Linked DNA regions of Saccharomyces cerevisiae S288C. The protein of the gene in region 2 interacts with the protein of the main gene of each other region in a pairwise test. Each region holds a gene or a part of one and is shown on either strand. Other genes may lie near its edges. The genes, in order: GID8 and GID7.

Region 1 (3,823 bases), on a different chromosome or scaffold from region 2:
ACTGTATATAACGATCGAAATGAGTCTTCTACAAAAGAACACATCAGAAGAACTAGAGCGTGGAAGAATCGATGAAAGTCTGAAGCTTCATCGGATGTTGGTGAGTGATGAATATCACGGTAAAGAATACAAAGACGAGAAAAGCGGTATTGTTATTGAAGAGTTCGAAGATCGCGATAAGTTTTTTGCAAAACCTGTGTTTGTATCAGAATTGGATGTCGAATGTAATGTTATTGTAGATGGGAAAGAACTTCTGTCCACCCCATTAAAATTTCATGTTGAATTTTCTCCAGAGGATTATGAAAATGAAAAAAGACCTGAGTTTGGTACTACCTTGCGTGTATTGAGGCTGAGACTTTACCACTACTTTAAAGATTGCGAAATATATCGCGATATAATTAAGAATGAGGGCGGTGAAGGGGCAAGAAAGTTTACGATTTCCAACGGTGTCAAAATTTACAATCATAAAGATGAACTACTGCCATTGAATATCGATGATGTTCAATTATGTTTCCTGAAGATTGATACGGGAAACACGATAAAATGCGAATTCATACTATGAAAGCTTCCAAAAAAAAAAAAGAAAAATCAATTGCTAAATGCATACATGCAGGTAGGCACACACACACACACACACACACACTCACTCACACATGCACACGCACACACACATATATAAATATATACGTACTATGTATGTCAGTTTTCGACCCTAGGAACCCCTATTTGGTTGTGATGAAGCTGATTTTCGCACCAACACCACAGTTTCATTATCTGCGTCAATCTTGGTTCATAGGGAAATTCGGAAGAGTAGTAATTATTGAATTCTAAACCTTTTTCCTTTCCATTTGAAGAGGAAAGCAATTCAGAAGTTTGATTCCAGTAATTTTTATTTTCTAAGTTATGAAAAGTTGTCGCCGCTGAACCTGTGCCAACATTTCCATCCCTTTGATTTAGCCAAACTGAATTAGCAGCAGCCGTGACCTCGTTGCTTGACATCTTTTCGTTGATAGGTTGGTCAGACGAAATGTGAGTTATTTTTGTACCATTTGAACCATTGACGAGATTGTTGTTATACACCGTGAAGTTCTGCGTAATTATTTTCTTGTCGGAATTTAACAAATCTGGAAATTTGGAATTATTATTGCTGATCTCAAATTGAATCCTTGGATGAATAAACTTCAGCAGCTTCTCATTAACCAGATCTGCTATCTTAGATCTTAGAGATATCGAGTACAGATTTTGTAACGATTTGGGCAGCTTAATGCTGCCGCTGTCCGCCGAATCTGACAAGGGGAAAAGCAGCAGAGTCATTGCTAATTCTAACTCTTGCATCTTTTTGACACTTGACGAAGCCTTTATTGCAAGTTTATTTTGAGAATACTGAATTAGATTGAGTATAAAGTCGTTGGAATCCTTGGTGATGTTCTCCTGTTGATGGTGACTTCTTATCATCTCGATCAAATTCAGTAACAGCAGTTTGAAGTGTAAATCTCCATCTATGTCAAACTGCTGCTGCTGCTGCTGCTGCTGCCTGTCAGTTCTACCCGTATAACTTCCCGTAGCATTGAAAGTCTCTTCCAGCACCTCCAGCCCGAAGATAGAGTTTATCTCCTCCATCGCCTCATTGATACGCCCCAGCTTAATAAGATGTTTGATATGGAAACGCTCCTTGATCTTGTACAAATCATTGAAAACCGCAATGTCTTTGTTGTTCCGTATAAATCCCAGCTCCTTGGCCATCCTAATGCTCGAGTCTTCATATGCCATAGAAACAAAGTAGTTCAACAGAAGCCGTGGCAGTGTGGGCTCTATGGGTGTGGTCTGTATGGTAGCAAATCCCTCGTCCTGCGAGCCGCCACTGCTGTTGGGCTGAATTTTCAGCGGATAATGTATTGTCTTATTTGCATATAGCTCGCCCATGGCAGAATACTTGGCCACCTGCTCCTTCCATTCTTCCTTCGTGAAGCACTTCTTTCCATACGTAAAGTCTTTCCCACCATTCTTGCCTTGGCCGCTGCAAGATCCGCTCTTCGTGGTCTCGTTACTAAGAGTAGATATAGTCATTTCTATTTGTTACCACACACAAATATATCTTCATCCGGCTGATATTTGTCTCTACTGCCCCTTTGCTTGCAATTTAATGACCAAATTACACATGTTAGCTTCAAGAAAAATGATGTACCATCAAAATGTCTCCTGCAACGAACCGGGGCACCGCGCCGGCAGAGTCAGGAAAGCGAGATCGACACTGATAGTGATAAACAGCAACACAATGGAGCGATTACCATTCACTCGGAACGGATCCGGACAACAGTCAAATAAACTCCGGGATCCCAAAAAGGGCCGTACACACAAACCCAAGCCGAGCGAAAAACACAAAAAAAATAAAACAGGGAAAAAAGGAGCGCAAGAGAAAACGCACAGGAGTAGGAGCAGCAGAAAGGGGAACTAATATGGTTTTTCCGTTTGCTTATTTTTATTTTTTTGTTGAGTCATGGGCACGTCACCGCACAACAGCCGCCGCAGGCCTGTACCGCTACGCGTCTATCACTGCGAAACATCGCTACTTCTGTCGCCGCGTCGACGCTGGTCCAGACCACAAAAGGATGCACGATCAGAAGCACTGTACCCTGCAGAGTTGGAGATAGTGTAACCGTGACTTCATTTTTCAAGCGTGGTTTCACATTCTTTTTGCACCGCCCTTATCTCAGATATAGTTTCGTTCGGTTGCTTTGCTTTCCCCAACTGAAGGTGCTGGATGGCGGTTTTTCCGGCTGCTGCGATTTTCCCTGCGCGGGGCCCGGCGCGGAATTGTGCAAAAGCTAAAACTCAACGGTTATTTTGAAATATAAGGTTATAAGCAAATTTCCTAAATTTGCTTAATTGTTAATGCAGTTGTTATTGCATTAAGACATTCGGCTATCGTTTCCTTTCTTCGTGTCGGCAATCTTGTATAAAAGTTATTTTTTGAGTTTCAGTTTCTTGTATATCTTGGTATATATTGAAGGAGGATTTTTTCTTTCCTGGTCCTTTTACTTCCTTGCGTCCCCTCATATTTCTTCTATTTCCGTTCACGGCGTTTTTTTATTTTCTCCATCTACTTTTAGTGATTTCCTTTGCTCTAATATTGTTTTCGTTCATAGTGAATTGTTTGTTTTCACTTTAATAAAGGGCTTTTACGACTTGTCTCAAAAAATTTCATCGAGATGCAAGCCCCCAATATCTACCCCTTCTCTCAAACACAGCCACAAGCACTGCCCGGGTTCACATACGGTCCTCCACAACTTGTTTTTGACCATTCTGCTCCGAGAGTAGATCCTTTGCATTCTACTGTAACTATAAATTCTCCATTACCCTTGCAGCATTATAATGGACCGAATGCCCATATAAACAGCGCAAACAACAACTACGCATACTACTATCATCATCCCAACAATAATGATAACAACAACCATAGTAACAACACTATAAAAAATAACAACATTAATTCTGTTCTTCCCGCCGTTAATATTCAAATATCCAACAACTCACATTATAGAAATACACACCAAATTCCTTCTGCTCCTCAGCGGCTGGTCAGCATCATACCGGATCCCCACATGCCGCCCAATATTTCTCACTTTCAGCTAAATAATATTCACCCTCAAATGCATGCTCCTGTTGCTACTGATATTCATTTCCAACAAGTACCAGTTTACAATAAAACCAATAATGGCATTGGTACTGATAACATTAATAACGATAAACCCGTAAACTCGAATCAGAATGAAGTGCTGGACAATATTGATGAACGTTCCTGTCATGAAATTAACAGGGTAGT
Region 2 (4,735 bases):
ATCGAACAAATGGAAAAAGGTCTAGCTCCACCAAAGGAAGGCCACACATTGGCCTCGGACAAAGGTCTTCCTATGATTCCGGCGTTCGTCACCGGGTCACCCAACGGGACGGAGCGCGGTGTTTTACTAGCCGCCGACCTGGGTGGTACCAATTTCCGTATATGTTCTGTTAACTTGCATGGAGATCATACTTTCTCCATGGAGCAAATGAAGTCCAAGATTCCCGATGATTTGCTAGACGATGAGAACGTCACATCTGACGACCTGTTTGGGTTTCTAGCACGTCGTACACTGGCCTTTATGAAGAAGTATCACCCGGACGAGTTGGCCAAGGGTAAAGACGCCAAGCCCATGAAACTGGGGTTCACTTTCTCATACCCTGTAGACCAGACCTCTCTAAACTCCGGGACATTGATCCGTTGGACCAAGGGTTTCCGCATCGCGGACACCGTCGGAAAGGATGTCGTGCAATTGTACCAGGAGCAATTAAGCGCTCAGGGTATGCCTATGATCAAGGTTGTTGCATTAACCAACGACACCGTCGGAACGTACCTATCGCATTGCTACACGTCCGATAACACGGACTCAATGACGTCCGGAGAAATCTCGGAGCCGGTCATCGGATGTATTTTCGGTACCGGTACCAATGGGTGCTATATGGAGGAGATCAACAAGATCACGAAGTTGCCACAGGAGTTGCGTGACAAGTTGATAAAGGAGGGTAAGACACACATGATCATCAATGTCGAATGGGGGTCCTTCGATAATGAGCTCAAGCACTTGCCTACTACTAAGTATGACGTCGTAATTGACCAGAAACTGTCAACGAACCCGGGATTTCACTTGTTTGAAAAACGTGTCTCAGGGATGTTCTTGGGTGAGGTGTTGCGTAACATTTTAGTGGACTTGCACTCGCAAGGCTTGCTTTTGCAACAGTACAGGTCCAAGGAACAACTTCCTCGCCACTTGACTACACCTTTCCAGTTGTCATCCGAAGTGCTGTCGCATATTGAAATTGACGACTCGACAGGTCTACGTGAAACAGAGTTGTCATTATTACAGAGTCTCAGACTGCCCACCACTCCAACAGAGCGTGTTCAAATTCAAAAATTGGTGCGCGCGATTTCTAGGAGATCTGCGTATTTAGCCGCCGTGCCGCTTGCCGCGATATTGATCAAGACAAATGCTTTGAACAAGAGATATCATGGTGAAGTCGAGATCGGTTGTGATGGTTCCGTTGTGGAATACTACCCCGGTTTCAGATCTATGCTGAGACACGCCTTAGCCTTGTCACCCTTGGGTGCCGAGGGTGAGAGGAAGGTGCACTTGAAGATTGCCAAGGATGGTTCCGGAGTGGGTGCCGCCTTGTGTGCGCTTGTAGCATGATCTTTTTACATTTTTTTGGTTTGTGTACGTATCCCACCGTACTTACCATCTTCTCTCCTTTATATATATATATATATATGTATATTTTCAGTGTATATACATACATTCTTATACAATACCGTATAAGAACGTATGTATGTATGTATGATTTTCTCACATTAATGAACAATATCATCGGAAACGGGCCTTTGGTTTTTAAGGGAAAATGAAGAACAATAAATGCCTTGCTAGGTCTTCCTTTATCATTTTTGGAAGTCAAATATGAAAAACACTTCCAAGGGGGCGTACTACTTCAACTAATAAAATGTCACACACTAATAAGATCGCATACGTGTTGAACAATGACACGGAGGAAACAGCCTCGCCCTCTTCCGTTGGTTGTTTTGACAAGAAACAGCTCACTAAATTACTGATACATACTCTAAAGGAGCTGGGCTACGACTCCGCCGCTAACCAGTTACTGCTAGAGAGCGGCGGATATCAAAATGAGTCTAACCACATCCAGACTTTCTTCAAACTCATCAAGACCGGCCAATTCCATCTTATTAATTGGCAGATTGTTTGCTCGCTGCCCCTTGCCCATAGCTCTCCGCTAAGGTCCGAATGGCTTCAAAGGCTGCTCATTCCCACGCCGACGCCCGCCACGACTTCACTTTTCGACCACATGCTCCTGCAACTGCAATACCTGCAACAGCTGATGAGCTCTGTAAATTCATCTACTTGTTCGGACGCAGAGATCGCCACGCTCAGAAATTACGTAGAGATCATGATTCTAGTTAATAGACAAATATTCCTCGAATTCTTCCATCCAGTCACAAATTCCGCCTCTCACAAGGGCCCTCACACTGCACTGCCCGTCCTGTATTTGCGCAAAATCCTCAAAAACTTCATCGAGATATGGGATTCCCTGCTGGTGTCTAACGATCAGTTCCTAAATGAAGAAAACATCTTCAATCCGGAAACGACCTTGAGAGAACTGTCGACGTACCTGACCAACCCAAAACTAACCGCGCAGTTGAACCTCGAGCGAGACCATCTGATTGACGCCATCTCCAAATATATCGATCCGAACGAACTCGTTCCCAAGGGTCGTCTCTTGCATCTCTTGAAACAGGCCATCAAGTATCAACAATCACAAGACATTTTTAATATCATCGATCCGGATGATGACGCCTCTTTCTCCTCTCCACCCCACCGGATCAACCTTTTGCAGGATAACTTCTCACACGATCTGACTGTGACCTTTCAAGAATGGAAGACTATCCAAGACACCACAGACGAAATTTGGTTTTTGACATTTTCGCCCAATGGCAAGTATTTGGCTTCTGCGACTTCCGAGTCTTCAAGAGGCTACTTCATTACTGTTTATGATGTGGAACAAGACTTCAAAATTTATAAGACTTGCGTGAGCTTGTCACAATCCGTATTGTACCTCATGTTTTCTCCTGATAGCCGGTATCTGGTTGCTTGCCCTTTCAGCGAAGATGTTACCATTTACGACATGAATGCCACCTCCCTGCCCGATGCGTCTGCCACAGACTCGTTCCTACTATACCCTTCTACCAGGCTCTCGCCCATGGACTCGTTTAAACTGGACACCACCACGTACCCAGATGATACCGAATCATCAGCATCATCTTCCTCGAGGCCGGCAAACGCGAATTCTAATCAATCAAGAGTATGGTGCTGCGATGCCTTCCACACTGCGGAACGTGCGGGCTGGATGGTGGTTGGATCGCCCGACAGAGAAGCTATTGTACACTCACTCACCACGAAAGAGTCACTTTTTAGCTTAAAAGGCAGGACTTGTATCGCGTTGGGCCACGATGAAAACATCTCTGGGAGAAAATCAATCGATCCTGCAAAAGTCCTTTACAAACCAACAAGTAGCAATGGTAACTGGCAATATGTGGAGGACGACGAAACCTTTCCACGTGTGCACGACGTGAAAATCAGCTATGACGATAAATACGTGCTTTTAATGACCCACCAGGGCGTTATAGATGTCTACGATTTCAGTGGGTTCCCCTCCAAAGAGGAGCTATCTAAGCAAACAGTGGATCCCAAAAACTTTCTGATTCCAAGGATCGCAAGATTGGACGTGGGCAAAAACATGACTTGTATCTCATTACCGCTAAATACCACGCATCAAGGCTTCCATAGGCAACAAATATCCGAGTCTCAACATTTGGTATTAGTTAGCCTTCAAGATAACGAATTACAAATGTGGGACTATAAAGAAAATATTCTCATACAAAAGTACTTTGGACAGAAGCAACAGCACTTTATTATCAGATCTTGCTTCGCCTACGGTAATAAGCTTGTCATGAGCGGATCAGAAGATGGTAAAATTTACATTTGGGATAGAATTAGAGGTAACCTAGTATCTGTTTTATCCGGTCATTCCACGGTAATGAGTAATTCCACAAAACCCATGGGGAAAAATTGTAACGTAGTTGCATCAAACCCTGCAGATAAAGAAATGTTTGCTTCTGGCGGTGATGACGGTAAGATAAAAATCTGGAAAATTTCAAGAAATTAATACTCCACCTTATATATATACGTAAGCAAAGTTTTATGTAACAAAAAAAAAAAAAGAACTAATCCAACCTTCTTTCACTTTCAGGTAAAACTTGACTGAGTTCTTCAGCCTCTCTTCTACCTCTCTTGACATCCAAACAGTTTAGCACAGGCAATGATAGCATCAAAAGCAAAAAGAAGAAATAAAACGAATAGCGAATATTATGCGTTTTATCGGTAAGCAGTCCAACAAGGAAGGGTCCCAGGATGGACGACCCCTTATCTGTGATACTGAACATACTAAAAAACGTGGATTCTTTTCCTGGAGGTACAATCAAACTGAAAACTGATCTTGAAACCGCGGACAGGCCACCTAGTGATAATCCATACCAAATGGCCAATAAGAACATTTCAAACTTATGCTTTAAACCGAACGCATTGAAGAAAAATCCAAGAATACCATAAAATGGTATGAAACTTGCCCAAATGATAATGTACATCAAAGTTTGACTAGAAGTCCACCGAAACTTTGTGGCAAGAAATTGTGGAATCATAAAGGCACCCAGCATTGCATTTACAACGGTCAAAACACTTATCATGATTAAATTGAGGGTACTCATGTGCAGTTCTGCCTTGGAGAACAAAACCGCTGTAGAATTTATAGTTGTAATGGAATCACTAATAATAAACCACGCAATAAGAAAAATCATCACATCTTTCAATAGTCTGGCATGTTTAAACGATTCGAAAAGCGAAACCCAACCATATGAAAGGTAATTCTTCCAGTTTAGTTGACCCAAGGCGTCTTGCTCACCGGGATACGGACTGC

Evidence for each region.
Region 1: the proteins of GID7 (region 2) and GID8 interact in binary tests that used the Saccharomyces cerevisiae proteins (3 or more experiments, as listed by UniProt).

Annotation. Positions count from the first base shown.
Region 1 is NC_001145.3:537,990-541,812, forward strand, and holds GID8 (glucose-induced degradation complex subunit GID8), read right to left. Parts: upstream 2,068-3,823; coding exon 700-2,067; downstream 1-699. Other genes in the region: ERG29 (Erg29p), read left to right, coding at 1-562; GAT2 (Gat2p), read left to right, coding at 3,210-3,823. UniProt on the Saccharomyces cerevisiae protein: Component of the GID E3 ligase complex recruiting N termini and catalyzing ubiquitination of proteins targeted for degradation.
Region 2 is NC_001135.5:50,955-55,689, forward strand, and holds GID7 (glucose-induced degradation complex subunit GID7), read left to right. Parts: upstream 1-1,690; coding exon 1,691-3,928; downstream 3,929-4,735. Other genes in the region: GLK1 (glucokinase), read left to right, coding at 1-1,386; ATG22 (Atg22p), read right to left, coding at 3,987-4,735.